4 linked regions of the Callithrix jacchus genome follow. The protein of the gene in region 2 purifies or fractionates together with the protein of the main gene of each other region. This does not show direct contact. Links are inferred from orthologs where the notes say so. Each region holds a gene or a part of one and is shown on either strand. Other genes may lie near its edges.

The links.
Region 1: the proteins of EXOC2 (region 2) and EXOC7 fractionate together in Homo sapiens (co-fractionation; 4 studies listed by BioGRID, with this or other methods). This does not show direct contact. The link is inferred for Callithrix jacchus from reciprocal best matches to the Homo sapiens genes EXOC2 and EXOC7.
Region 3: the proteins of EXOC2 (region 2) and EXOC6 purify together in Homo sapiens (affinity purification with mass spectrometry; 5 studies listed by BioGRID and IntAct, counting the BioPlex papers as one, with this or other methods). This does not show direct contact. The link is inferred for Callithrix jacchus from reciprocal best matches to the Homo sapiens genes EXOC2 and EXOC6.
Region 4: the proteins of EXOC2 (region 2) and EXOC3 purify together in Homo sapiens (affinity purification with mass spectrometry; 6 studies listed by BioGRID and IntAct, counting the BioPlex papers as one, with this or other methods). This does not show direct contact. The link is inferred for Callithrix jacchus from reciprocal best matches to the Homo sapiens genes EXOC2 and EXOC3.

Annotation. Positions count from the first base shown.
Region 1 is NC_133506.1:131,985,700-131,992,695, reverse strand, and holds part of EXOC7 (exocyst complex component 7), read left to right. Parts: intron 1-241; coding exon 242-362; intron 363-636; coding exon 637-732; intron 733-3,704; coding exon 3,705-3,768; intron 3,769-3,992; coding exon 3,993-4,034; intron 4,035-4,141; coding exon 4,142-4,275; intron 4,276-4,519; coding exon 4,520-4,622; 3' UTR 4,623-5,600; coding exon of another isoform or gene 5,601-5,791; 3' UTR 5,792-6,202; coding exon of another isoform or gene 6,203-6,367; 3' UTR 6,368-6,492; coding exon of another isoform or gene 6,493-6,703; 3' UTR 6,704-6,837; coding exon of another isoform or gene 6,838-6,996. Other genes in the region: ligand-gated cation channel ZACN, read right to left, coding at 5,601-5,791, 6,203-6,367, 6,493-6,703, 6,838-6,996. UniProt on the Homo sapiens protein: Component of the exocyst complex involved in the docking of exocytic vesicles with fusion sites on the plasma membrane.
Region 2 is NC_133505.1:31,115,736-31,122,731, reverse strand, and holds part of EXOC2 (exocyst complex component 2), read right to left. Parts: intron 3,521-6,996; coding exon 3,375-3,520; intron 3,237-3,374; coding exon 3,155-3,236; intron 2,402-3,154; coding exon 2,299-2,401; intron 1-2,298. UniProt on the Homo sapiens protein: Component of the exocyst complex involved in the docking of exocytic vesicles with fusion sites on the plasma membrane.
Region 3 is NC_133513.1:85,427,853-85,435,469, reverse strand, and holds the start of EXOC6 (exocyst complex component 6), read right to left. Parts: upstream 4,214-7,617; 5' UTR 4,050-4,213; intron 3,744-4,049; 5' UTR 3,616-3,743; intron 3,155-3,615; 5' UTR 3,088-3,154; coding exon 3,003-3,087; intron 1-3,002. UniProt on the Homo sapiens protein: Component of the exocyst complex involved in the docking of exocytic vesicles with fusion sites on the plasma membrane.
Region 4 is NC_133503.1:205,624,068-205,631,549, forward strand, and holds the start of EXOC3 (exocyst complex component 3), read right to left. Parts: upstream 4,353-7,482; 5' UTR 4,126-4,352; intron 3,313-4,125; 5' UTR 2,916-3,312; intron 340-2,915; 5' UTR 284-339; coding exon 140-283; intron 1-139. UniProt on the Homo sapiens protein: Component of the exocyst complex involved in the docking of exocytic vesicles with fusion sites on the plasma membrane.

The sequences.
Region 1 (6,996 bases), on a different chromosome or scaffold from region 2:
ATGCCCTGCCTTTCCCTTCCTTCTATCTGTGCTCTCTGGCTACTCCCAGAGCCCTCTGCTAAGTGCCATCTGACCTTTGGGACCACAACCTGACCTCTAGTTCAGAGGCCGAGGGGAGTTGGGCTAAGGCCTTCTGAAGCAGGATGAGGAGCAATGGATAAGGGTGGGTTAGCGGGTCCTGGGATGGGGTCATTTGGGTCAAACCACCATGGTGGGGATGGCCCCACTTTTCCCTATGCAGGTAAAGTGCTGGGCAACCTGCAGTTGAACCTGCTGAGCAAGTCCAAGGTCTATGAGGACCCCGCTCTGAGCGCCATCTTCTTGCACAACAACTACAATTACATCCTCAAGTCCCTGGAGAAGTAAGTGGCCTGCAAGAGCGAGTCTGTGGCTCTCACCTTCCCCTCAGCTGTGCAGCTGTGCCAGCCCCTGCCCTCCTGGGCTCCCTCTCTTGTGGTCGGGAGGGGAGGGGGTACTTCAGTCTCCTCCATCCCAGGACCCAGAAGGTGGGAGTGCTGCTGCTGTAGAGTTCATGGAGTTTGGGGTGCAATGGGAGGCCCCCCCAGGCATTGCTACAGCCTTTGCACCTAGGTGCCAATCCTGTCCTTCTCTTCTCTGTCCCCCGCCCCCACCCAGGTCCGAGCTGATCCAGCTGGTAGCAGTGACGCAGAAGACTGCCGAGCGTTCCTACCGGGAGCACATCGAGCAGCAGGTCCAGACCTACCAGCGCAGGTGAGAGGCTGGCCTCGCCCTGCCCTGCATGGAACCCCAGCCGTCTCTGTCCTCACCCCAACCCTGTGCCACCAACCAGTCTTCCTTCTCAGCACCTCAGGACAGAGGGATCAGTCATGGGGAACTGCCCTCTGGACCCTAATCTTCCACTTGGTTTTTAATCAAACTCATGGGGTGGAGAGAGAAGCCCCCTCGTCTGCAACTACCTGCTCCTAGAGGCCCACTGTGGCCAGCCACTTTAGAGGGGAGCCTACCAAGTGTCAAGGCCAAGAGTAATTGAAGAGCCGGCTGTCACAGATGTGGGTCATGTTTAGCCTAGGAGAAGCTCAGGGTTAGGAGAGCACTTGAGCTTGGCTGGGCGTTGCTCTGTGGGGATCTCTGTGCTTCCCTGGTCCTCTTTCTTCCTGGCTCTGTGGGGATCTCTGTGCTTCCCTGGTCCTCTTTCTTCCTGGCTCTGTGGGGATCTCTGCGCTTCTCTGGTCCTCTTCCTGGCTCTGTGGGGATCTCTGTGCTTCCCTGGTCCTCTTTCTTCCTGGCTCTGTGGGGATCTCTGTGCTTCCCTGGTCCTCTTTCTTCCTGGCTCTGTGGGGGTCTCTGCGCTTCCCTGGTCCTCTTTCTTCCTGGCTCTGTGGGGATCTCTGCGCTTCCCTGGTCCTCTTTCTTCCTGGCTCTGTGGGGATCTCTGCGCTTCCCTGGTCCTCTTTCTTCCTGGCTCTGTGGGGATCTCTGCGCTTCCCTGGTCCTCTTTCTTCCTGGCTCTGTGGGGATCTCTGCGCTTCTCTGGTCCTCTTTCTTCCTGGCTCTGTGGGGATCTCTGTGCTTCTCTGGTCCTCTTTCTTCCTGGCTCTGTGGGGGTCTCTGCGCTTTGCTGGTCCTCTTTCTTCCTGGCTCTGTGGGGGTCTCTGCGCTTCTCTGGTCCTCTTTCTTCCTGGCTCTGTGGGGGTCTCTGTGCTTCCCTGGTCCTCTTTCTTCCTGGCTCTGTGGGGATCTCTGTGCTTCTCTGGTCCACTTCCTGGCTCTGTGGGGATCTCTATGCTTCTCTGGTCCTCTTCCTGGCTCTGTGGGGATCTCTGCGCTTCTGTGGTCCTCTTTCTTCCTGGCTCTGTGGGGGTCTCTGCGCTTCTCTGGTCCTCTTTCTTCCTGGTTCTGTGGAGATCTCTGCACTTCTCTGGTCCTCTTTCTTCCTGGCTCTGTGGGGATCTCTGTGCTTCTCTGGTTCTCTTCCTGGCTCTGTGGGGATCTCTGCGCTTCTGTGGTCCTCTTTCTTCCTGGCTCTGTGGGGGTCTCTGCGCTTCTCTGGTCCTCTTTCTTCCTGGTTCTGTGGGGATCTCTGCACTTCTCTGGTCCTCTTTCTTCCTGGCTCTGTGGGGATCTCTGTGCTTCCGTGGTCCTCTTTCTTCCTGGCTCTGTGGGGGTCTCTGCGCTTCGCTGGTCCTCTTTCTTCCTGGCTCTGTGGGGATCTCTGTGCTTCTCTGGTCCTCTTTCTTCCTGGCTCTGTGGGGATCTCTGCGCTTCTCTGGTCCTCTTTCTTCCTGGCTCTGTGGGGATCTCTGTGCTTCTCTGGTCCTCTTTCTTCCTGGCTCTGTGGGGATCTCTGTGCTTCTCTGGTCCTCTTTCTTCCTGGCTCTGTGGGGATCTCTGTGCTTCTCTGGTCCTCCTTCTGGCTCTGTGGGGATCTCTGTGCTTCCCTGGTCCTCTTTCTTCCTGGCTCTGTGGGGATCTCTGTGCTTCTCTGGTCCTCTTTCTTCCTGGCTCTGTGGGGATCTCTGTGCTTCTCTGGTCCTCTTTCTTCCTGGCTCTGTGGGGATCTCTGTGCTTCCCTGGTCCTCTTTCTTCCTGGTTCTGTGGGGGTCTCTGCGCTTCCCTGGTCCTCTTTCTTCCTGGCTCTGTGGGGATCTCTGCGCTTCTCTGGTCCTCTTTCTTCCTGGCTCTGTGGGGATCTCTGCGCTTCTCTGGTCCTCTTTCTTCCTGGCTCTGTGGGGATCTCTATGCTTCTCTGGTCCTCTTCCTGGCTCTGTGGGGATCGCTGTGCTTCTCTGGTCCTCTTTCTTCCTGGCTCTGTGGGGGTCTCTGTGCTTCCCTGGTCCTCTTTCTTCCTGGCTCTGTGGGGGTCTCTGTGCTTCCCTGGTCCTCTTTCTTCCTGGCTCTGTGGGGGTCTCTGTGCTTCCCTGGTCCTCTTTCTTCCTGGCTCTGTGGGGGTCTCTGTGCTTCCCTGGTCCTCTTTCTTCCTGGCTCTGTGGGGGTCTCTGTGCTTCTCTGGTCCTCTTTCTTCCTGGCTCTGTTTCTTCCCTTTGAGTGTGTCTCCCTCTTCCCTCTTGTTTATCTCCCCTCCACTCACTCCTTTCTTTCCCATCTGTTTCTCCGTCTTAATTTGCCATGATACTGATGTGAAATATAGTTGACAGTATTTGTTCAGTTTATTGAACACTCAAATGTTTCCTTATGTTTTCTCAATGAGTGACCAGTTTAAACATTTTCTCTTTTGTTTGTTTTTTTTGTTTTTGTTTTTTGTTTTTTTGAGACAGAGTTTCACTCTTGTCACCCCGGCTGGAGTCCAATGGCGCAGCCTTGGCTCACTGCAACCTCTGCCTCCCGGGTTCAAGTGATTCTCCTGCCTCAGCCTCCCAGGTAACTGGGATTACAGGCATGCAACACCATACCCAGCTAATTTAGCATTTTTAGTAGAGATGGGGTTTCTCCATGTTGGCCAGTCTGGTCTCGAACCTCTGACCTCAGGTGATCTGCCTGCCTCAGCATCCCAAATTGCTGGGATTATAGGTGAGAGCCACTGCGTCTGGGCTGTTTAAACATTTTCTATTCCCAGGAAGAGAATCTGTTGTTTTGCTTAGTTGTGACCCACATCCCTTCCTACCACCAACCACTAAGTAGATCCAGAGATTTGGCAAATGACACAAACCAGGCCACCGAGGCAGGCCGTCCTCTGCCCTCATGCTTCTCTTTCTGTCCGGCAGTTGGTTAAAGGTGACCGATTACATCGCAGAGAAGAATCTACCTGTGTTCCAGCCGGGAGTCAAGGTGGGCTCAAGGCCTGGGCTGGGAATGGGTGTTTAGCAGACTGGATACTTTGTTGTATCTCTGGGAAAAGAGGACAAGCGTCCCTCTGGGATCAGAGAGCAAAGGATGTGTATGGCCATCAGGGCACAGGAGAGAAGCCCAGGCCAAGGGCGTTTGGAACAGAGTGCGGGCAGGCTGCCCTGCTCTGAACTGAGCTTTCTCTACTATCTCTCCTGGCTTCCCAGCTCCGGGACAAGGAGCGTCAGATTATCAAGGAGCGTTTTAAGGTGAGTTGAGGTCCTCTCCTTTCCACTGCTTGCTGCTGTTTTTGAGACAACACAGACCCAAAGTTTTGTCTCTGGGTCCCTTCCTTTTTCACCTTTTTGGTGGCCAGGGCTTCAATGATGGCCTTGAAGAACTATGCAAAATCCAGAAGGCCTGGGCTATTCCGGACATGGAGCAGAGGGACAGGATTCGCCAGGCCCAGAAGACCATTGTTAAGGAGACCTATGGGGCCTTTCTGCAGAAGTGAGCCCCTTCCCAGCCTGTGCTGCCCACGGCCACAGTGGGCTCTTTGAGCTCCTCTTCCTCAAGGGCAAAAGGAAAAGGGTGACAGGTTTAGGCCGCAGATCCAGCACCCTGGGCTTTGGGGCGGGGCTGGACAGGGAATCACTCTGGGTCACACCTTCCGAGACTCTCAGGAGTGCCTTAGGCTGAGGGTGGTGCTGGGGAGGGTCGGCTTCCCTGTCCCCTGACGGCAGTGCCCCCTCAGGTTCGGCAGTGTGCCCTTCACCAAGAACCCGGAGAAGTACATCAAGTACGGTGTGGAGCAGGTGGGCGACATGATCGATCGCCTTTTCGACACCTCTGCCTGAGCCTGCTGCTAGCCCTGCCTGTTTCCACCAGACTGACATGTCATTGGACAGATAAACCAGTGTTAAGTTGCCTCTGGCCCCTTTGGGACAGAGTCCTATCTCCAACACCCCATCCAGGAGCCATGTCCCTGAGCCATCTAGTCCTGGGTTCCACTCTTTCCCCACACCCTATGTTCCCAACCAAACCAGCACTCTCCTGGAAGCCTGGAGTCCCTTCATACCTTGGCTTTGGTGACCCTGATGGCTTCTGAAACAGGAAGGGAGAGAAGGAAGACAGGCCTGTGCCCACTGCTGCCCCACATGTACCAAGAGCAGGAGGGCAGCATGGCCCTACCTCCAGCCTAGGTCAGAGGTGGGGCCAGAGAACTCCTCCGACAGCCCAGAAATGTGGTGGGGCTCAGAGGGCCAGAGCCCCTGGAGAAGGCAGGCAGCATTGACCCCTCTCTTGGATTTAGTGCAGAAAACACATTCCCACTCGCCCACAGGCCTGAGGTCTGGGACCTTTCCATCTCCCAGGAGTCCCCAAGGTGGCCGGGGTGCGGGCCTGCTCACTGGCCATTCCCCCTGGAGTCCAGCACATTGCAGGAGGCATTTGGAGGAGTTTCGCTCCACCCTCTGCAGCCTCCCTCAGACCTGTGTCTCCGGTCCCCAGCCTCAGTGCCTCCTGGCCCAGGGCCAAGCAGTCATGTTGCAGAAGGAGCAGTTAGACTGCCTGCCTGGGAGACAGGGACAATGGGCAAAAGGTCAGGAGCAAAGTAGAGGTCGGAAGCAAAAAATAGGACTCCACCTATTTAGGACGAGAATGAAGACTGCCCCTTGAGGCACACTTGCACATGGGGATGGGTTTATTTCACACTTTGCTTGTATGCTGGCGGAGGGAGAGCTCAGGGTGGCTTTGTCCAGAGACCCTGTCATGGCCTCCCCCAGCCATGGGACGGCAAACGTCACCCTAAGGTGTGCAGCCCAGGCCCTGCCCTGTTATGGTCTAGGCCTCCTGCCATGGGGTGCAGCTTCTCCAGGGGCTGGGTCAGACTTGCACGCTGCCCACATCCAAATGCCAGCAAAGATGAATTGGCAGCACAGCACCCCAGCCACATATACCAGGAAGAAGATGCGGTCAGCAGTCTCAGGCCAGCTCCTCTGTGACCCCTTTACTCCCCTGGGGGGCTCTGTGGGGAAAGAGGCAGGGAAAGAAGTTGTTCTTCAGGGTCCCCCCAACATGATCAGAAGAGTGAACCCCAGGGGTCATCAGCCTATCTTTCCCTTTCTTAGATTCCCAGGTGATATACATTTGGGTCTGACCCATTTCAGGCCATCTTCAGTTGAAGAAACCCCTCTCAGACCGTGGAAGGTATGGGGTTATCAGGGCATTGAGGTCACCTGGGACTAAAGGGAGGCTAAGCTTGCTCCCTGCCCCAGACCTGTTTCTTCCAAGGGAGGAGGACATGATGGTGACCAGGGACAGAAAAGCCAGCAGGGTAAATGCAGGGAGCCTCTACACATGCCTGGAGCCCCTCACCCTCACCCCAGCCCTAGGTGTGCTCCTAGGCCTCATTCCTTACCCCCCAGCCCCTGCCTACCTTCAGGATGAGGCCCTGAGTTGCCATGTTCTCGATGTTCCCCTCTTAGGGCTGGGCTGGGGCTGCTCTTGGCCCCAAAGCTGCCCTTGGCCAGCAGCCCAGCCAGCAGCACAGTCTCCATGGTGCTGAGGAAGAGCAGCAGCAGCAGAATGGTGAAGAAGTAAACTGGGGGAGATAGGGCATGGGGAGATGATCAGAGGCTAGTCCCTGTGTCTCTGGTGCCCAGCCAGCTGAGCACCAGCGGGTGGTGGGGAGAAACAGGGCAGGCCAGGTGAGGGAGCAGGGCTTACTGAGCAGGGGGTTGCAAGAGGAGGAGCTTGGCAGGGCCTCCACCAGGGAGGAGTGGAAGACCAGGTAGCTCAGCAGCAAGGTCACCTTGTAGGCAATGCGCTCAATGGCCCAGAGGGGCAGCAGCCCCCCACACACGTCAGCCAACAGCAGCGCCTCCGCAGGCACCAAGAGAGCAATGATGGACTTGAGTGCCGTGTTCTTCAGGCTCAGCTGGAAAGAGAAAAAGCCAGGGCCTCGCAGGGGGAGGAGGGAGGTGGGCAGCGGGGGCATGGGGCCCGGCCTCTGGCCTTGCCTCATGCCCACCGCCTCCAGCAGCCCTCTGTCAGCCTCCCGACTGGACTCACCGTCACTTTGAAGCAGGGCACCACCTGCTGGGGTGGGACTTGGGTCTTCAGATCATAAACTACATATTCCCTCTTAACACTCACAATCTCGTTCACCGCGTGGGCCTGGAACTCTAATTCCATCACTGAGGGTAGGAATGAGAACTGTGAACTAGGAGG
Region 2 (6,996 bases):
TCTATTTCTTAGTGACTAAAAATTTAATTTAAAAAATGTAACAATTGTTCAGTGTCTTCTCAAAGCAACATAAATAAAATAATCATTAAAAAATACATAAAACTATTGTTGACTTGTTTATATTTCTGCTCTTTTGCCTTTAAGATGACAGGAGAAAAGGTAGTTAAAAGGCTATTTAAAAGAATCTTTTTTGCCACCACCACCTTTTAAAGGATATCCAGTAAGTTAAATAGTCATAACAACTACACATGAGTTACAGTAACTCACAACATAAAGAATTTGCACATTCAATAATATTTAACACATTACTGGGCAGGTTTAAAATAACAAGTGTAAACCGGTTAGAAATACACAAAGCACACACAGTGAAGGAACAGAGGGGAAAACAGCAGCCTCAGGACGTCTGACACTACCCAGCTGCGTGTCCTGGACACAACGCTCAACCTCCCTGGAACTCTGTAGCTTTCTAGGTAGAAATGAAGCAGTTGGATAACTGAAGTGTGGTTTATTTCCAGGTTTAAATTTCTAGGAGTCTGCAAACCAGGAAAATCCCCCATATACATTCTTTCTTATGGAGGCAGCTTAGAGAGAAGCAAGGGTAGGCTCTAGAGCCACACCTTGTCACTGTGTGTGCTGGGCAAGCTTAAGTGTCTTTACCTGTACAATGGGCACCACACAAGCATCCTTTCATGGCGGTGATTAGGATTAGAGTAGATATGCAGAACACATCTTGCCCAGTGCCGGAGCTTGCAACACACGTGCAGGGGTGGCAGCATGCAATCACACAGCCCTCTCTTTATCCCACCGCCAGTGCCTCTGCTTGCTTCCTCCTGGGCAATACTAGTGTGCTACCAGTGACAATGGCTCATACTCCTGCCGTACGCCTTATAGATCCTTTCCCTGTTCACAACTGCATACACAGCAGCTTTCAGGCCAAACCCTCTCTCCAAGACAGTCTTTTTTTTTTTTTTTTTTCCCAGAGACAGGATCTTGCTGTCACCCAGAGTCGAGTACAGTGGCATGATCACATCTCACTGCAGCCTCAAACCCCTGGGCTCAAGAGATCCTACTGCCTCAGTCTCCTGAGTAGCTGTGATGACAGGTGTGCATCCCCACATCTGGTTAATTTTTGATTTTTTTTGTAGAGACGAGGTTTCATTATGTTGCCCAGGCTAGTCTTAAACTCTTATAGACTCAAGCAATCCTGCCTTGGCCTCCCAAAGTGCTGGAATCACAGATGTGAGCCACCATGCCAGTTCCTGAGACATTATTTTCAAAGGTCACATGGGGACCACAGCTAAATTCATAAATACACTGTCTATCATTTTATAACCACTGAATATTCAATAAACTTCATGAATTCAAGAGGAAAACCATTAAATCTGTAAAATAACCTGTTCTGAGAACAAAGGCCATACTCAAAAAATCCCAGTAGAAAATGAAATTAATATTTTTAATACAGATATAAAAAATCTAAACTTTATATGCTTTGTCTCCAAATCCTGACATAAACTACATGTATATAAAATTTTCTGATGACATTTTATGTGCTCAGTGCTGTATTAAATCCTTAAATGTATTTCTGATTATCTTTGCAACTATCCTGAGATGCAGATTTGAGTACCAGGTCAATTTCACAGATGAAGAAACTAAAAAACAGAACTCAAGTTAGTTGCCCAAAGTCAACAGCTAGTCCTATTATGTATACCAGTTTTCTATAAGTCCTTCTCTTCATATCCTGTGACATTTACCACTCTTAACATTACTGTAATTTTTTTTTTAAAGTATGCTCACTTAGTGACTTTTATTTCTCTATCACTGACACTGAAGGCTTGGAAGTCAAACAGCTATTCAAGGCTAAAACCTTGCAGGATTTACTCTGCTGTTAAACAACAACACATTCTTGTGGCATAATGCATTTCCCATCCAGTGTGTGACAGTATTCAGCTTTAAGCCACACAAGGAGCCCCAATTTCACAAAATGTGGGTACCCAAACCATCCCACTAGGTGAGGTAACCCTTGCTCAGCAGGAGGAAGAGGTAACTAAGCAAACGGGCTACTTTTCCTTTCTCCCAAATGGCAGAGTTTTCTTAAAAAGTAACTCAATAACTACTCCCAAGGCCATTAGTATTCAAAAGAATTTTGGTATCCTACTCCAGGTACCCCTAAATTTCTGCTATTTGTCTTCCCTTTCACCATTTCATCAATATCCTAAAGTCCCTCAAATTAGCCTTAAGGGTTACATCTAGTACCAAAGAGATATATGTGATTCCACAAAACTTTTGCAGAAGATTTACCTTATGTAACGTTTTTGGTCATGTAAGGTTGATGGTGTCTCAAGCAATTTATCCAGAAGTAATTCTCTTAAAGCTTCAATCCTTGTTTCTACTTCAGCATAATCTATTTAAAAAGAAAAGAATATGCAAGATTTACAGAATGGAAATTTAAAATCAAATTTCAGAAAGCAAAATAGTAGTTGCTTTTGTGGGGTAGAGGCTGATTAAGATAGAGGCCCCAGGGCCCTGTCTAGAATGATCAGAACACTATCTCGGGTGTAGGTTACAAGGGTGTATGCATTTGTCGCAACTCACGGACCTCTAACAGGTAACATTTCACTGCATTTTACCACAATAAAAAAAAATTTAGTTTTCTGAGTCCTTACAACTTTCATTTTTGAATTTAATAAGGCCCTGTGATATTTCTCCTGGTGGATAAGGCTTTAACCAAAGAGCATTTTAAACTTTTCTATTTTTCTGTAACGCTAGCATTAAAAATAATTTCAAAAGTTGTTGTGTTTCCTTTAAATGAGTTAGAATTCGTAAGTCTACTGGTCTCTCTGAAGACGTAAGATTAAAATGTAAGTTTCCAACTCTACAAAATATTTGTCATTGATTCTTTCCAGTAAACTAAGAGTTTTTAATAGCGTTATGACAAACAAATGGCAAAGAACGTCCTAGACTAACCTATCGTTGTAGTTTTCATTTTCACTATATATCAAACAAGAAAAGTCATACTGTTATTTTTGAAGTAATTGTTAGAAAGAGCCCCATATAAACAAAAACTAAAACTCTTATAACATTCTTTGCAGAACACATTCCACATTCTTCCTATAAAAGGAAAGTAGAAGATCTAAAAGTAATAAACAAATCTTACATTTCTTGAAAACTTGCACCTCCGTTTTCCCAAATAGTGACTTGGCCTTTTCATAATCATTAATAACCACATCATAATCACCCTTTAAAATAAAGAAACATTTTGAAAACTGGTAGTAATGCAAAATGAAGACATTTGGTTAATATAAAAAACATTTTTAAATATCTTAAAAATATATGACATCTATAACCATATGTACATAAATAAATATGGACTCTACCTTTTGAATATTCCTTTCAATATTTAGAGGAAGGTTGAAAAGAAACTTAAATCGCTGAAGCACATTGAGTGCATTTCTAGTGGAATCTGCCTTGTCTTTCCGACCTAATACTTCTTGAAACAATGTGTCCGCAGTATTACTTGCTCCTATTTTAAAGGGAGGAAAGGAGACTTAGATGAAAGCTGATTTTAATCAGAAAATGTGTAACTGGGAACTAGAAACAAAATATTAAGACTGTTATTATAGCTTTACATTAAAACTCAATAGAAGGTTTTTAAGGTTAGCTATATCAGAGATCTTCTATAGTTTGCTAAAATAAAATTTCCATTTTGCCTAAGTCTTTTCATATGTTAAGAATGGTATCCAATATAAAAACAAACATATTTACCATGGCCAAATAAATTTTCTAATGTGAACCTACATTTATTTTCGTTAATCTTCTAAATTTTGTAGCAATTGTGGGCACCTAGGTTATTTCAGAACTTCATACAATGGAGAAAAACACACAGATATCCATGTGTGTGCATACACATGTACATGAGCTAAATTCTGTGGACTCAGTATCTACATATGGGATAATAAACAAAACAAGAAAAATCATTCTCAGAAAAGTTGAACAAAAGAACTATTTAAAACTAATTCTATTTCTTGCCAGAATCATCTCTATGTAGCAAGCAAAGAAAATTACATAAGCAATTTACAAATAATAAACGTCAAGGCACCATCATGAATATTTTTTCAATCAGCTAATTCTTATAAAAGTATACATGAACTGCATATTTCCTAAGTCTTTTTATTTTTACCTAAAAGATCCCAAACTAAATGAATCACTGTAATGAAAGAGCACCTTTATCTAAAGGAAAATTTGCTGTGTACAAAAATAGTTTTGCAACTTGTAAATTAGTTTTAATTAGTCACAACGAAAGGAGAGAAAAAAGATAAACTGTTTTCGGTTGTTTGATCACTGCTTGTAAAAAGTTTCTACATTATCTGGTCTAGTGACTATACTTTAAGCAAAGATGAAAAAATTGCCTCAGTCTCACTGGGTGGCTTGCATGCCATATTCTCTAGTGCACACTGTGGGTGGCCTGATCCTGTTAAAAGTCGTCTTTGTAACATGATTGTTTTATCTAAATAATGTTTAAATTCTGTTGAAATTTTAAAGGCCTGATATAAAAACTTTGTTTTGTCAAGATAACTGTTTGCACCACATGCTATTTAATGTAGAATGTTACATTTCTATTATAAGATGAGAAAAAATACATTACCTTCTTGCCACCAAACCATATAATGGAGTCTAAATTAATATTTGAAATCTGATTAGAGTTAAAACTTTTTTTGTCAAAGAAAATTATTTTAAAGTATTTATCATTTAAAAAATAAAAACTTCATGAATTGAGGCTCATAAATGAATAGATATGTAAAGGGGACTGAATGTTTTTGAAAGGTTAATTACTTATATGTTAGGTTTGGATGTTAAATAACCAAGCGCCATTTGAAAAAAATTTTTTACTTGTTTTTAGTATAATGAAATTTGGGGCAAAAAGTATGTGAGCTCAAATTTAGATTTTTCTCCTTTTATTTTTAAAGGGGTAAAACATTATCAACTATTAACTTTAACTCCTCTAAAAAGTATGAAAACAAGTGCAGCAAGAAAACCTACTCATAAGTAAATAAAATATAGACATATAGAAAAATTTATATGCAGAAATTAAAACTATAAAATTTCAAGTTTATGTATGCCAAAATATATGTATTTATATGTGGAGAATTTTAATTTATGCAAATACTTGAGAAATTATAAGTTATGAGATCATAATTTTTAGAGATAACATCTGTCTATACATTATTATTCTGTTGTAAATGTTATTGTATTCACAATAAAAGTTCCTAATTCTGATTATTAGATAATATATTCAGTAATAAAATACATGAGAGCAGTGAAACCAACATTTGTGCAAATAGATAAAAATCACCAGCAGCTCACAAAATGCATTTTATGTCTTTCTTCTCTAGGGCTACTAATAAGAAAATAAAACTATTAAAGAAAAGGGGTGCTCTTCATATGTGAGGCTGATGTCACAGATAATGCCACCAGAAAGGCATCAACAAAGGTCATCTCATAAAAATCCCCATGTGCTAATCCACACACATTCTCACACCAAGAACACCCAATTTTAAGGCAGCTGGTGGGGTCTGAATATCAGTGTACAACCACAGAACAAGTCTAACTGGAGTGGATGGCCATGACTTTGGCCTCATAGGCTACAGAGCAAACCTTCATCGACATTTGCCAGCCTTGGCCACACCAAGGTCTGGAAATTGGTCCTTTCTCGTCACCCAAAGATGGTCTCCAGGGCCGGGCGCGGTGGCTCACGCCTGTAATCCCAGCACTTTGGGAGGCCGAGACGGGTGGATCACAAGGTCAAGAGATTGAGACCATCCAGGTCAACATGGTGAAACCCCGTCTCTACTAAAAATACAAAAAATTAGCTGGGCATGGTGGCGCGTGCCTGTAATCCCAGCTACTCAGGAGGCTGAGGCAGGAGTATTGCCTGAGCCCAGGAGGCGGAGGTTGCGGTGAGCCGAGATTGCGCCATTGCACTCCAGCCTGGGTAACAAGAGCGAAACTCCGTCTCAAAAAAAAAAAAAAAAAGGTCTCCAACACTAGTGAGTTTGGACAATGACTCTCAACTGTCTCAGTCACACAGGAACTGCAAGAACTAACAGCAATGCTGTTGCAGAAACTGTGGCTGCCGCCAGTGTAGTCGGGTCTGTAGAACAGTGTAATTTTCCTATAGTACAAGATGGGAAGGAAAGTCCAGGTGGCATTACACATCAATCAGTGGAACTCATACCTGCCCAGTGATCTCACATCCTTAACAATGGAAAAAAACATTTTTATATGTGCAGGAACTCCTGTCGTCTAGAAAACCCAATCCTGTAATTCTAATGGTGTCTTCTAATTTCAAGCATGTTCATTTAAAGTAAATATTATGCTTTCTCTTATTTCAAAGTGACCATTTGGTCCCTTCCTTGGTACTGACACTTGAGACAGATCACCGAAGTGATTTCTAATCTGTGCTCTCCTCTTGATGGGAACTGGGGAGGTCAGAGGCAGGATAGAAGTAACACCCCATCACCAGCTGCTCCACCCACCACAGCACAATTTATCCCAGGAATAAGCAAGTTTAATGAGATTAGGTAATGAAACATTAGCGCTCCTGGAAAATTAGGGTAACTCTAAAATGTACAAACTCACAGCAAAACCAGGACTACAAAAGAGACCTAACTACCTCAATTTCAACAGACCAGAAAATGACTAGATAGCTGCTGGCTATACCATAACAATGCTACATGGACAGTATCGTTAACAGTACCATCCCTGACACTCTATGTGGAGTACGCGGAACTGGAACCTGGGGGAAATGAGGAAAGAGCTGACGTCAGCACATACACCTCTCAAGAGCAACAGTCAGCATCTCTTCACATTTAAGTTGAGCTGGCAGCTTGAAACCAACCCTAATGGGAGTATTTACAACTTGGTGGCTGGGAAATGTTAATATTAGGATTAATTTTCTTTCTTTTCTTTCGTTTTTTTTGAATGCCTGTTGTGAAATAT
Region 3 (7,617 bases), on a different chromosome or scaffold from region 2:
AGAAAAAAAAAAAACCCTAAAAACTAAAGGAAGGAGAGATGAAAAAGAAAATACTGTGGGATTTTACTTTTGTAAAGTTCAAAAATTGGCAAATGAATCTATGCCATTTGGAATCGGGTTAGTGCAGTCCCTTGGAGTGAGGTTGGGGATAGTGAGCTAGAGGGGGCATAAAGAGAGCTCCTTGGGATCTGGTAATGTTCTATTTCAAGATATAGATTCCAGTTACACAGTATAGTGATGTTGTAAGCTGCACACCTATGATTTGTGAGCTTTTAAAATATATATGTTATACTTTTAGAAGTAGTTTCTTGAAAAAATTGACAATCCATATATCTTTACAAATTTCATTTGTAAAAAAAAAAAAACTCTCTTGTAAATATGATGCTTTAAAATACATTTGAAAAGTAAAACATCATACAAAATGCCGGTATATTTTAGTGCCTCATGTTTATACAGGATGGATAATACTGAATAATGGCTAAGATTCAGAACAATATACACCAGAAATTGCACGCATAAATTCCCTGGTCACTATTAACACTGTGTTTTTCTTTTTCTTTTTTTTTTTTTAATCTTTATTCTATGAAGAAACAAGCACTGTGTTTTTCTTAATGCCTAAAATAACATCTAAACAAGGGGCAGCTGCCTCAGGCAAATTGGTACTTAGGCGATTTTAAAGACCTTAATGAGATCAGGTAATTGCTTGGTGAAGCTAAAAATTTTACCTTCAATTAACTAATCAACAGCACCATACATCATCATAACTTCTCACTCCCTTCCACCTCCGTATCATCAAGTCGTTTCCTCCAGATGTCTGAACCTGCACTCAGGGTCCATTTTTTAAACATTTATTGAATTAGTCTGGTCTAATCTACAATTAATGGAAAGTCTATAGTAATGCAAATTCCATACGCAGCTAAGGAAAGTTAAAAATTTGAAAAAGCATGTAAAGCAAATACACTTTCTGTTCCTTCTACAATCGTTTCTTTGCAATTCATAAAATACTTTCAGAAATCACTTAAAAATATTTGGGTTTCCTGCTTCCATTTTCTAAATAGATGATGCTGATAAAAATAGCAGTGATCACAGCCTACTCCAAATAGTGTTGGGTTTTTTGTTTTTGTTTTTGTTTTTGTTTCCAGTAAACTGGGTAGATTTTAAATAAAACTCTTGATGGAAATTGAGAATTGTGAACTGGAAATTGAATGAAATTGCCAAGTGTGAAAGGGAAAAATGGCCAATAAAACCACAGAAGCACTTCCTCTTCAAATTTATGCTGGTAAAAAGATGGCAGAGAACATCTTCTTTTAGTGCTTATTTAACCTTAAATAGACCTAAATATGTCCTCCCCTCACCGTGGCCCAAGTTGGCACCTGCCAAGTGTCTCTGTAGCACTTATGGCCCCTACCCACTGTTTTCTGCTGTGCTCCCAAAGCCATCCAGGCAAGCTGTGTTTCTGGTAGCCAAGGAATGGGAAGTATAATGAGGGTGCAGGGCTTGGGGAGGGAGGGAAATGGCTCTCCTCTCCTTGAGGAAGGGCACATGGCTTTCACTTTCATTCTGTAGTACAATATTTATTAAAAGCTTACGGCAGGTCAAACATAGTGCTGGATGCAGGGGACACAAATCGTAAGCCATCACACTGCCATGTTGATGCCAGAGTCCCCTGTGGAACAGGCCTCCATGGGCCAGATGAAGAATAAACATAATTATACTAAATAGTTTATGTAATTGCGACACCAAATAACATGAACCAGAGGAAAACATTTTTTGTTTGTTTTTGAGACAGAATTTTGCTCTGTTGCCAGGCTAGAGTGCAGTGGTGCTATCTCCGCTCACTGCAACCTCCACCTCCTGGGTTCCAGGGATTCTCCTACTCCGGACGTTCCAGTGTCCAGAGTAGCTGGGATTACAGAAGTACACCACCACACCCAGCTAATTTTTGTATTTTTAGTAGAGACAGAGTTTTACCATATTGGCCAGGATGGTCTCAATCTCCCAATCTCGTGATCTAACCACCTCGGCCTCTCAAAGTGCTGGGATAACAGGCATGAGACACCACACCCAGACAACTTTTTTTTTTAACACTTTGAAAGATATAAAATATATTTTATAATGCTCATTTCCCCCAGAAAACTGAGGGAGAAATGATACTTCACTCAGCTTATTAGTTTTCTAATGTAATAGAATAATATGTTACATACACAGAAATTGCTTATACCTGATGCTGTATCATAATTCCTTCCAGATATAATGCTAGATTGAATCAAGGCAAAAGATTAAATAAGATAAGCAAAAAAACCTCAACTCTTTTCTTACAGCTAGAATTAGACTTGATTTGATACCTTCTTAAGAGTGCAACCGATTCAGTGAGGAAATTCTCATTACATTGACCGGTATAGTAATTGAGGTTTTGGGTGTAACTTCTCGGTGACAGTTTCCTTATCTGGAAAATGAGGTTGATAACAGCCTCTACTTCATAGGGTCGTTGATGATTAAATGATATAAAGCAAGTGAAAGATTCGCATAATATTTAGCAGCACATAGTACATGCTCAGTAATTCATTAATTTAACATATATTTACCAAGTGCTTAATAGGGCAGGCTGAAGATACATAGCAGTGAACCAAACAGACAAAAATCCCTACCCTCATGATGTTCATATATCAGCAAGAAGAGACAAATAATAAGGCAGTAAAAATATTATATCCCATTGCATTAAGTGAAATAGAAAAAATTAAATTGTGGTTGGGGATAGGAAGAGGAGGTTGCCATCGCAAAAAGGCTGGCAAAGGGAAGGCCATGTCTGAAGGAGAGGAGGGAGCAAGCCATGAGGCTATATCTGGTGGGGAAGAGAGTTCCAGAGAGAGGAAAGTGCCAATGCAAAAACAAAGATAACTGTGTGGTGGGTAAAGCAAACCTAGGTCCGCAATCCCTGATTCAAAATTCTGAAATTCAGAATCTCTGGAGTTCAGTCATGCATACTCCCCACCCTCTCTCACCTCCAGGCCTGTGGACAGGACCGTCCTTCTCCGTGGAACACCATTCCTTTTCGTTTTCTTTGGTTGGGAGTCCCTGCCACAGCATGTGCTGCTCACCCCTTATTCCAGATCTGTCAGCTCCGTTACACTCCAGTGCTACTGAGTGCCTTGACCTTAGGACACAGGGATTATTACTCTTCTATTTATGTTCTCATTATCATTATTATTATTATTATTATTATTATTTATTTGAGATGGAGTCCCACTCTGTGGCCCAGGCTGGAGTGCAGCGGCTCACTGCAACCTCCGCCTCCCAGGTTCAAGTGATTCTTCTGCCTTAGCCTCCGGGGTAGCTAGGATTACAGGCACCTGCCACCACTTCCGGATAATTTTTGTATTTGTTTTAGAAGAGGTGAGGTTTCACCATGTTGGCCACACTGGTCTCAAATTCCTGACCTCAAATGATCTGCCTGCCTCGGCCTCCCAAAGTGCTGGGATTACAGGTGTGAGCCACCAGTCCCAGCCTATGTTATTATTATTGCTTAATAATAAAATAAATTAAACATTTATCCCCGGCTGGATGGGAGCAACGCATTAGGGCTCCAGCAACATTCCCCTCAATTAGGATTCTCACCTCAGCTAAAAGATGAACATTTCCATAAATTTCAGGAAAATCTTGGCTCCAGTAGTGACATCTAAAGAATGGAGATTAGTCATTTTCCATTCTAAATGGGGAAGTAAACTGAATGAAGATGAGGAATCCTGAAAGGCAAGGAGGGGAAAGGAGAAAGGGAATGAATAAGATGAGGAAGGAAAAGTGGGGAGGAGAAGGAGGATGGAAGGGCATAAACCCCGATAGAAAAACACAAACAAGGTTATGAGCATCTCCTACTGCAAGCGTCTGCGAGCAGCAGAGGAGGGACCCTCTGCCGTTAACTCTTTCCCGTACTTGTTCATCTAAAAAGCTGACTTCAGAGAGAATGAGATTTTTGAATACTTATGGTTTTTCAAGGATACCAAACTCCCCTTCCAAAATAAAAAGGAGTCTAAGGAATGGATAGAACATACGTTTTAAACAAATGTTTTTAAAGTGGGAAGCGGCTTCATTGGCTTTCATCTGGAAAGTCGCGGGATATTTGCAGTGACTTCTTTTTGTTTTTTGTTTTTTTTTTAAAGTAGCAACGCAGGAAAGCGTTCGGCTGCTCGCGGCGACGGCCGGATGCTCCAAAGTCAAGATCCTCCGCAGACAGGAAATGCCTCTGCCAGCTCCAAGGTCCCCTTGCCGCAGCCCTCTGTATTGTCCAGAGAGATTTGTGTACATCCGACTGAGCAGGTTTCCCGCCTGCAACTGCGAACCCAAGAGCTGTCTCAAAAGAAGGAATCACTGGGGCTGTCTAGCTTTTCTGACTGACACTCGGGCCCACTGCGTGCATGGGACGGACGCCTTCTCTCGGGGAAGCCACGCTCCGCTCTAGGAACTGAGGGACGGAGGCTGAGGATGAGTTTGTCCCCCGGGGCCCCAGCCAGCAAGAGAGGGGTAGGGATTCCATCTGTCTTGCTGCGAGCCATGCTTGCATCCACAACGGTGTGATTCTGGTTTTCCTACAGCCACATGTGAAGGGGTAGCTGCTCTTCTTTCTGTGGACCTGGGGTCTCAGATCTTTGGGTGAGTAGGAGGAGTCTCCAAAGTGCTTCTTATTTGGGTTTATCAACAATACAAAAAAATACATGTCAAGGGAAAAAATTAGACATATACAGAGTCCAAATGGGACTTCCTAAAACCTCTATGGACTGAAAAATAAATATCAGTACAACGTGATTATTTTGACTACAAAATACTGAACTCCTAGTCTTTTTTCTTTTTTCTTTTTTTTTTTTTTTTTTTTTGAGACAGTCTTACTCTGTTGCTCAGGCTGGAGTGCAGTGGCATAATCTTGGCTCACTGCAACCTCCGCTGCCGGGTTCAAGGGATTCTCCTGCCTCAGCCTCCCAAGTAGCTGGGATTACAGGCACGTGCCACCACACCCTGCTAATTTTGTCGTTTTAGTAGAGACAGGATTTCACCATGTTGGCCAGGCTGGTCCCAAACTCCTGACCTCAGGTGATCTGCCCGCCTCAGCCTCCCAAAGTGTTGGGATTATAGGTGTGAGCCACTGCACCTGGCCTGAACTCCCAGTCATTTAGAAGCATCCTGGGTGATTGTTTGGTTTTCACATTCTGTCCCATATTGTCAGTAGTCACATAAATAACTCCAACCACGGATTTAAAGGCTCATTGATTATTAGATCTTGAAAAAAAATCAAAATCAGGAGATTTTGAGTTCATCAATTTCCACATGGCAATATATCTGGAATGGGAATTTTAGTGTCTTCTGTCCCCAGCAAAATGCATTTTCCCCAAGTCCAAATAAGTTTTCTTAAATCCCTATCCTGCCCAATCATGCCCTAAGATGAATATTCACAGTAATGAAAACCACACACACACACAAAAGCTTGTCAGAAAAGTTGAAAGAGAATAGGTACTTTCACTATCAGAGATGGTTTCCTCTTTTCCCACAAGATGTGTTATCAGCTTTCACCCTGAGAGAACCATAAAAAGTAAGAAAAAGTAATGTTATGCAATAGTTCTCTAAATAAAATACTACACAGTAGACTAGTCATCTCTAAAAGTGATGTTGTTTAAAGAGTCAAAGTACATCATCCAACAAAATCAATATCATATTAAGTTAGAAAGGGTTCTGAATATCAAAGACCAATGAACTGAATAACTTAAAGTATAAGTACACGACCCAGGGGATTAATCACACACTGTCATGGTGAAATTAGGGCAATTCTTCCAATCATTAACGTTTTGCTTACAAAAATGTGCTTTTCTGTTTGTCTTTCTGCTAAATGATAACCGTTTTCAAGTTGAATCTCCTGATAAAAAGAGTTAAAAACAAGACAGGAGTTGTGCTGTAAAGGTCATACATGCTGCTTAAACATGAAATAGCCAAAAGACAAACAAATGAAAAATGCCTGGATCGTAGGAGGAATTTCTAAATCTTCATTGGCAATCTGCAATGGTGCACTTCAGAAAAGTGAATGCCTACCTGTGTCCTGAGAATACTGCACCTCCTCCAGTTAACATGCTCTTGATTCTTAAGGACATGTTTAGATTCAGAGTGGGAGCAACTTGAAGAGAGTTAGGACAAGCTTGAAATTGGGAAGCAGCCTGGTTTCAGGGAATTGTCAACTTTAAAACTAGATTTTACCCCTCGACTTTTCTAGTGTCAATCAATACATTAGTCTGTATTTCTTTGCTGAACAGTCATGATACAGTTACTCTCAAGAATAAACATTAACCAGGGTTTATCTCCAGAAGTGAAACACACACATGGATCTCAGGATTACTTTAATTCAATATTATGTCCACAAGCTGTCTGATATAGACAGTCCCCTTTTCAGATGAGATGGATTATGACCTTTGAAACCTTGATGTAATCTGTTAGGCAGGGTCTGGAGCTTGGAGCCCACAGCTGATGGGAAAGGAAACTCTCCCACTGGGTGGCTACTTTGGGTGCCAAGGTTGAGGAGACATGGGGATAGGGAGAACAATAATGATGGCATGAATTGAGTTGGGAATTTGGGAGCTGGAAGGGGTCATGTGGCTCAACTAGACCATCTTTGACCTACAAATGAGTTGAGGCCAAGAACTAAAACACCAACCCAAATCTTCAAACTTCCAAGTCTATCCACACCTCTCTGCTTAAGGACTAGTACTGCTTTTCTCAAAAATCTTAATTCACCTACAATTCCAGGGGCCTTCTTAGAATCTAAGGAGGCAGGATGTGACAAGTCCCTAAGAACAATGACTTTTTCACTGTCTTCATCTGAGTGTCCAAATCTAGGGAGGGCCACAGCCCTGGGAGCCAGGCAAGGGGTAGGGTCATTCCTTCACAGGTCCTTAGCCAGAGGTACCCAACTCTACAACTAGAGGCCTCCATGGAGGCCAAGGCTAGAGAGAGAGATTTCCGGGTCTCTCTCCAACAAGTCTCTGTCATAGTTTTCCTGGACTGGCAGAGACCTGATGGCTCAGCTAGACAAGCAGCTGGCACAGACTAGCAATACCCTCAACAGTCAGAAACCTGGGCCTCCACACCCACCTCACCTCAGCACTCCATTCTCTCTCGATCACATGGTGCCCCGACCTCCACACTGCGCCCTCTGCTCAGCCATCAAACCTCACTCCCACTAGCCTGGATAAGCCCTGCATTCCTGTTTTCCCTCGTCTTTCCTTCCTCTCAGTACTCTGCCCCAGCCTCTGGCTGGCCAGAGTTACCAGGGAAGCAGGTGGGAGAGTGAGCGGGAGGGAGGGGTGCCGGTCCCAGCAGCTTCTTCCACACCCCGAGTGCTCACATCACACCACCAGAGGTGGTGTCGGGCTGCAGCTTTGGCGTCATCCCAGCGCTTGTTGGAAAAGCAAATTCCCGGTCCCAGCCCAGTTCCAATAGATCAGATCCCTAGGAACGGGGCTAGCCATGGGTTTCCACAAGCCCTCCAGAAGGTTCTGAAGTTCCCTGAAATCGAGAACCGCTCTCATCGCAAACCACCTCCCCACTGCTCTCGGCCAGAGCCTCCCATCCCCCCACACGGAC
Region 4 (7,482 bases), on a different chromosome or scaffold from region 2:
GCTCCAGAAACCCAGCTCTGCTCCTCCCACATCACCACAAAGGCTAGTTCAGCAAAATCATCACGGCGAACCTGAGACCCAACACAGACGGCTCCGTGCTGCCGGGAGTGGGGCAGGTGGCCGTGATCGCTCTGCTCACCTTCAGTCTGGCCTCCACGGAGGCCTTCTTCCGCGCTTCTCTCCTGCGGTACTGCTCCACCTTGTCCAGCTGGTCGGGGCGCTGGAGCATCCCAGCAACCCTCTGCACTGCTGTCGCAACAGCCTCCCTGTCTGTCTCCTTCATGGTCAAAAGGCAGGTGGAATCCTCACACAGTTCATGCTAGAGGTATTCTGTGTGCACTGCAGGGGTTGTTAGAAAGGTAGGAATGTTAGATACAAACCTCCCTCAGACAACCGGGTGCTCACAATGGAGCTACAAGGGGAGCGTTTGGGATCATTCCTCCAGAAAACCTGAAGGAAAGCTGAACTAGGATTAGGAACTCCTTAAGATAAGTGGACCTTTGTAACCCAAACATGGGAAGTTATACCTTTAAGAGAAGAGCGGGCAGGAGAGACAGGGACATTTGGAAGATTCTAGATGTGGGTCACAGGCCACCCACCATGTAGATGTCAGACTCCAAGGCACATCTCTGCCCAAGACAGGGCTAATTTCTCCTTTCCAGAGCCTTTCCCCAACACCTTGGCCAGGCCTGTGGGCAACTGCACCTTTCCCCAACACCTTGGCCAGGCCTGTGGGCAACTGCACCAGGACTCAGTGAAGACAAGTACAGCATGGGCATCTCCCCCGACCAGGCCCCACAGTCAGAAGCCCAGCACAAGCCCCACAAGCCCCTATAAAAGTCACCATTGTCTTGGGCATCCAAAATCCCATCTCCCCCTTTTTAACGGCCCTAGAAAACATCATGCATCCCTCTTTGCGCAGATCTCGTGAGGACCACAGGTGCTCAGATGCCAGGCAAGCCTGCCTTCCACGCTCACACCACCATCGTCCTCCTCGGGAGCTAAGAGGGCTGCCTGGTGAGCATCTGGTCAATGCAGGAATCTGAGACACCTGTTCCCCTTGACTTTGGCTATTGTTTTCATCTTCATGAATATTAAAAATATCCACCTTCTCCTGGAATTTTTCATTCTCCATGCCCACATGCTTTCAGACACCTCTCTTCTCCTGTTTCATCTGGAGCTACATTGCAACTTTTCCTTTCTCTTTATTTTCTCATGATGAGATTAGGCATTCCAATGTAGAAAATCAGGACAAAGATACGAAGACGCCAGAGACAACTCCTCTGAAATCTCACCACTCAGGGGTGACTCCCCTCAAATCCCACCATCCGGGAGCAGCTCCCCTCAAATCCCACCATCCAGGAGCAGCTCCCCTCAAATCCCATCATCCAGGAACAGCTCCCCTTAAATCCCAACATACAGGGGCAGCTCCCCTCAAATCCCACCATCCGGGGGCAGCTCCCCTCAAATCCCACCATCCCGCGGCAGCTCCCCTCAAATCCCAACATCCAGGGGCAGCTCCCCTCAAATAACACCATCCAGGAACAGCTCCCCTTAAATCCCAACATCCAGGGGCAGCTCCCCTCAAATCCCACCATCGACGGGCAGCTCCCCTCAAATCCCATCATCCGGGGGCAGCTCCCCTCAAATCCCACCATCCGGGGGCAGCTCCCCTCAAATCCCACCATCCCGCGGCAGCTCCCCTCAAATCCCATCATCCAGGGGCAGCTCCCCTCAAATCCCACCATCCGGGGGCAGCTCCCCTCAAATCCCACCATCCGGGGGCAGCTCCCCTCAAATCCCACCATCCGGGGGCAGCTCCCCTCAAATCCCATCATCCGGGGGCAGCTCCCCTCAAATCCCACCATCCCGCGGCAGCTCCCCTCAAATCCCACCATCCCGCGGCAGCTCCCCTCAAATCCCACCATCCAGGGGCAGCTCCCCTCAAATCCCATCATCCAGGGGCAGCTCCCCTCAAATCCCAACATCCAGGGGCAGCTCCCCTCAAATCCCATCATCCAGGGGCAGCTCCCCTCAAATCCCACCATCCAGGGGCAGCTCCCCTCAAATCCCACCATCCAGGGGCAGCTCCCCTCAAATCCCACCATCCCGCGGCAGCTCCCCTCAAATCCCACCATCCCGGGGCAGCTCCCCTCAAATCCCATCATCCAGGGGCAGCTCCCCTCAAATCCCACCATCCCGCGGCAGCTCCCCTCAAATCCCACCATCCCGGGGCAGCTCCCCTCAAATCCCATCATCCAGGGGCAGCTCCCCTCAAATCCCATCATCCAGGGGCAGCTCCCCTCAAATCCCATCATCCAGGGGCAGCTCCCCTCAAATCCCATCATCCAGGGGCAGCTCCCCTCAAATCCCATCATCCAGAGGCAGCTCCCCTCAAATCCCATCATCCAGGGGCAGCTCCCCTCAAATCCCACCATCCCGGGGCAGCTCCCCTCAAATCCCACCATCCCGCGGCAGCTCCCCTCAAATCCCACCATCCCGGGGCAGCTCCCCTCAAATCCCACCATCCCGCGGCAGCTCCCCTCAAATCCCACCATCCCGGGGCAGCTCCCCTCAAATCCCATCATCCAGGGGCAGCTCCCCTCAAATCCCACCATCCCGCGGCAGCTCCCCTCAAATCCCACCATCCCGGGGCAGCTCCCCTCAAATCCCATCATCCAGGGGCAGCTCCCCTCAAATCCCATCATCCAGGGGCAGCTCCCCTCAAATCCCATCATCCAGGGGCAGCTCCCCTCAAATCCCATCATCCAGGGGCAGCTCCCCTCAAATCCCATCATCCAGGGGCAGCTCCCCTCAAATCCCATCATCCAGGGGCAGCTCCCCTCAAATCCCACCATCCCGGGGCAGCTCCCCTCAAATCCCACCATCCCGCGGCAGCTCCCCTCAAATCCCACCATCCCGCGGCAGCTGTCCAACCGGGCGTGTTTCCTTGCAGCCTTTGTTCTTCCCCCTTGGGTTTCTCTTTAAGCGAAGGTCCCACCGCTCCTATGACTTTGTGGGTTCGTGCTTTCGCTTTCTTCCTTTGTTCGGACATTATCGTCAGCATTTCCACTGACATGAAAGCCTGTGTGATCTGGATCCTAGGGCTAGATAATAGCCCAGGAAGTGGACATCCAGCCATTCTGCTGGTGCGCACAGTGAGGTGGCTGGACCCATCCCAAAGCTGGAGTCGAGTCTGTCACGGTGCAGGTAAAGGACAGTCGGGAGCCAAGGTGATGTGGGTGGAGAGCTAGTGCAGCAGAGCTCACCTTGGATTCACAACAAAGCTACTCATGTGGGAAAAGCGAAAATCTGAAGGTAAAAAACACACCACAGAGGTTTCCATCCCAGCCTGAAGATTGGGTCACAGAAGCAAAAGAGGAACTCGGAGGCCATAAACAGAGACCAGGTCCGACCCCTACTAGGGCCCTTCTGACTGCCTTCCCCTGGTGCTGGCTCAGTCGTGAGACTCCACAGAGGGCGAGACACCCCACTGAAGGGAACATCAGCACCCAGGGGGACAACTACGCTGGGTGGGGGGGGGGCACCTCACCGGAGGACACCTGTGCTGAGGGGAACACCTCGCAAGAAGTGGGGGTGACACCTCTGCCAGGCAGACACCTCCACCGGAAGGGACACCTGCATGGAGGGGAACACCTGGGCTGAGGGGTACCTCGCCCAGGGGACACCTCACAGAGGGGACACCTGTGCTGACGGGCACCTCGCCGAGGTGACACTTCACAGAGGGGACACCTGTGTTGAGGGGAACACCTGTGCTGTGGACACTTCACAGAGGGGACACCTGCGCTTAGGGGAACACCTGTGCTTGGGAGCACCTCACCAAGGGGACACTTCACAGAAGGGACACCTGCACTGGGGGGGAACACCTGTTCTGGGGGCACCTCACGGAGGGGACAGCTCCGCTGGGGGTACCCCTGCAACTGGGAGGACACCTGTGCCAGGAGGGACACCTGTACCAGGAAGGCCACCTGTGCCTGGGGGGGGGGACACCTGCGCCTGGGGTGGGACACCTGCGCCTGGGGGGGGACACCTGCGCCTGGGGTGGGACACCTGCGCCTGGGGGGGGACACCTGCGCCTGGGGGACACCTCCGCCAAAAGGGCACCTGCGCCGAGGACACTCGCACGAGCAGGATACACCACGGGGTCCGGAACCGCCTCCCCGCCCTCCGGGCCTCGGCCCGGCCTCCCCCTACGCGCCCCCGCGGAAGCCAGAGACTGGGAGAGCGAGGATGAAAGACGGCGACCACCGCCCGGGGAGCCGAGGGCCGTCGGCACCTGTAGCTGCCTCACCCTCTGCGCCGCCGCCGCCTCGGGAGTCCCGGCCGGAAGTGGACGGCGCGCGGGAACTTCCGCTTCCGTCGAGGCGCCGGAAGGACGAGAGCCGGGTCCTGAGTGCGGGACTCGCAGGCGGCGGTGGCGTAGGGCGTGAGGTAGCGGCAGGTCCCGAAGCGGGACGGAGGTTGAAGCTAAGGCTCCAGCAGCCGGGAGGCGGACGGAGACTTCCGAGTAATGCGCAGGTGCTCTGGGCGGTGCGTCCGCAGTGAAAGGGTGGGCCAGGGAAGCTCAGCGCTCGGCGGAAGCGGACCCGGGGACCTTGCCGGAGAGACCCTCCTCCACCTGGGCCGGAGCGGACTTGAGCGGGAGGGAGGGAGGCACCGGCGCGCCCGCAGCCCTGGCCCTGCTCTGGGAGAATGGAGACCGTGCTTGGCTCCTCCGTAGACCTTCTTAGTGCGCAAATGAAGGTTAGCCACTGCAGAAATAGAAAATTCAGGCAATGGGCCGGGCGCGGTGGCTCAGGCCTGTAATCCCAGCGCTTTGGGAGGCCGAGGCGGTGGATCACGAGGTCAAGAGATCGAGACCATCCTGGTCAACATGGTGAAACCCCGTCTCTACTAAAAATACAAAAATTAGCTGGGCATGGTGGTGCGCCTGTAGTCCCAGCTACTCAGGAGGCTGAGGCAGGAGAATTGCCTGAATCCTGGAGGTGGAGGCTGTGGTGAGCTGAGATGGCGCCATTGCACTCCAGCCTGGGTAACAAGAGCGAAACTCCGTCTCAAAAAAAAAAAAGAAAAAAGAAAATTCAGGCAATGAGGAGGACCCTGTGTTCAAATGTGTCCGTAACGTGAACACAGGTAAGTGCGTCAGAAGCTGACACATTCATAGGAGAGCATCTGAAGCATCGAGAAACACGATTAGAGCTGGAGGCTTTTCCCTTCTGGGCCAGCGAGGCCTGAGAAGCTGGTGTGGCGATGTGACATTTGCTAAACTAAAATTTTTAACTCTCGTGGGATATATTTTTTAAATCCTTAAGTGAGAAGCCAAGCCACAGACTGAGGGAAAACCTTGTCAACATCTGTAACTGACAAAAGATTGCTATCCAGAGTAGAAGCGGAACTCCTGCAGATTAATCCAAAAGGGAAACAAGTGCAGCAAGAAATGGGTAAAGGACAAGAGCCTTTGGCTCCGGGGAATAAGCTGCCTCCCTTGGCCTTCCTCAGGGAGACCTCGTCCCTGCACCCTCCTCACGGGGCTCAGCTCAAGCCTTTGAGCCCCGACCAGGGCGTCTCCACCCACGCCCTGCTGTGTTGTCACTCAGATCTCACTGTGGCCATGCTGCCTCCCCAACTCGCCGTTCAGCTCCAGCCCTGCATATGTCCCGCATAAAACTGCCCCAAAGACCTGGGGCACCCCCAACCCCAGCTCTGTGCACCTGCAAAGCACTGGCCCCTCCCTGCGTCACAAAGTTGACAGGGTTCTCATGGTCACGTTCAGCTGCCTGCACCCCTTGCACGGACGCACACACGGCACAGCACACACCTGCAGACACCAGCTCTGGGATACCACTGACGTCTGCATGTTTTCTCCCGATTGTGTTTGCAGCACTGCGGCAGGGCCTGATATTTAACAGGGATTAAAAAATGCTGCGTGAACGAATCACACATAAAACTGCCGTTTCAACCCTTCAGAAGCCCAGGACTGAAAATGTCTGTCCACACAGGTGCCAGGCCTGGGTAGGATGGGAGCCCGGGAGATGGGGAGGTAGGAGGGAGACCAAGTGGGTGAAGCCCCTCTTCTGGGCAGCGCCTGGTGAGATGAAATTGCATGTGTCCGGCAATTAGGCTCACATCTATAATTCCAGCACTTTGGGAGGCTGAGGTGGGCTGATCACATGAGGCCAGGAGTTTGAGACCAGCCTGGCCAACATGGTGAAACCCAGCCTTTACTAAAAATACAAAAATTATCCGGACATGGTGGTGGATGCCTGTAGTCCCAGCTACTCTGGAGGCTGAGGTGGGGGAATCACTTGAACCTGGGAGGTGGAGGCTGCAGTGAGCCAAGATCACACCACTGTACTCCAGCCTGGGTGACAGAGTGATACTCCATCTCAAAAAAAAAAAAAAAATTGTGTTCATCCTAACTCCATGCAGGCTCACTCAGCAGAAGCCAGACTGGGGGTGAGGAGTGAAAATGTGGGAACTCCATCTGCCAGAGGCCACAGAGGAGAGGGCATGGGGGGAGGGATGGGCTAAGGTATGGAGCCACCGATGGGAGGGCTGGCCTGGTCTCCGGGGAGGACATGGGAGTCTTACACCAGTGACCAGGACAGGGTGCAAAGGAGGCCTGGCAGGGGCTGCTAGGACTCTAAAGGTGCCTGAGAGGAAACAGAAGCAGTTCCATGGGCCTTGGGCTGCCATCTGTGCTTGAGGAGGCCCCAGCAATTTTTTTATGGCATTCGGGGAGGAGGCATCTGGCCACAATCTGCCTGGGCCAGTGACCCTGCCGCCCCCTTGCCATGGGCCTGTTGTGCATGGGGCAGGGTGGACACCACCTGGCCCCCAACCCACAATGCCCTCAGCTCTACCTTCCTCACTTAACAGGTCAGTTCTGGGGCGTCCTGAGAGCACCTGGGAGGGTCCCTGACCCTCAGTGACAGGGGAGAGGGGCCTAGACCTTCTGGGCAGCAGCAGGGAAACGGCAGGTACTTCCTCCTCTTTCGGGAGGCTTGTAGCTCTAGAGTTTTTATTTTTATTGCTGCCTTTTGTGGTGAAAGGCTGCTTTAGAAGGTAAATTAACCAGCACACCCTTTAAAGGAAATAAAGTGACTTCATTAGGAAAATGCAGACATTTCAATTTATGTTAAACATGTACTAGCATGTCATATTTTATATCAATATTGCAAATTTAATACAAACCACAGTACAAAAAGTATTTGAAAGCTTCCGAAAGGCACTGAGAAAGCTGCAGTTATAGTGCATACGTTTTAAAAATTTAACACGTTAGTCTAGGTATTGAAAACTTTTTTCTTCCAGTAGAAACTGCAAAAATATAAAATATAAGCTGTATTTATCTCCTCCCTTCCATCCCACATTACACTTGACTTTAATACTTTTTCAGCTGTATAGGGAAAAGCTACATAAACAGAAAAACATGAACTTGTAATTAGTGCTAACAAGAGAAAT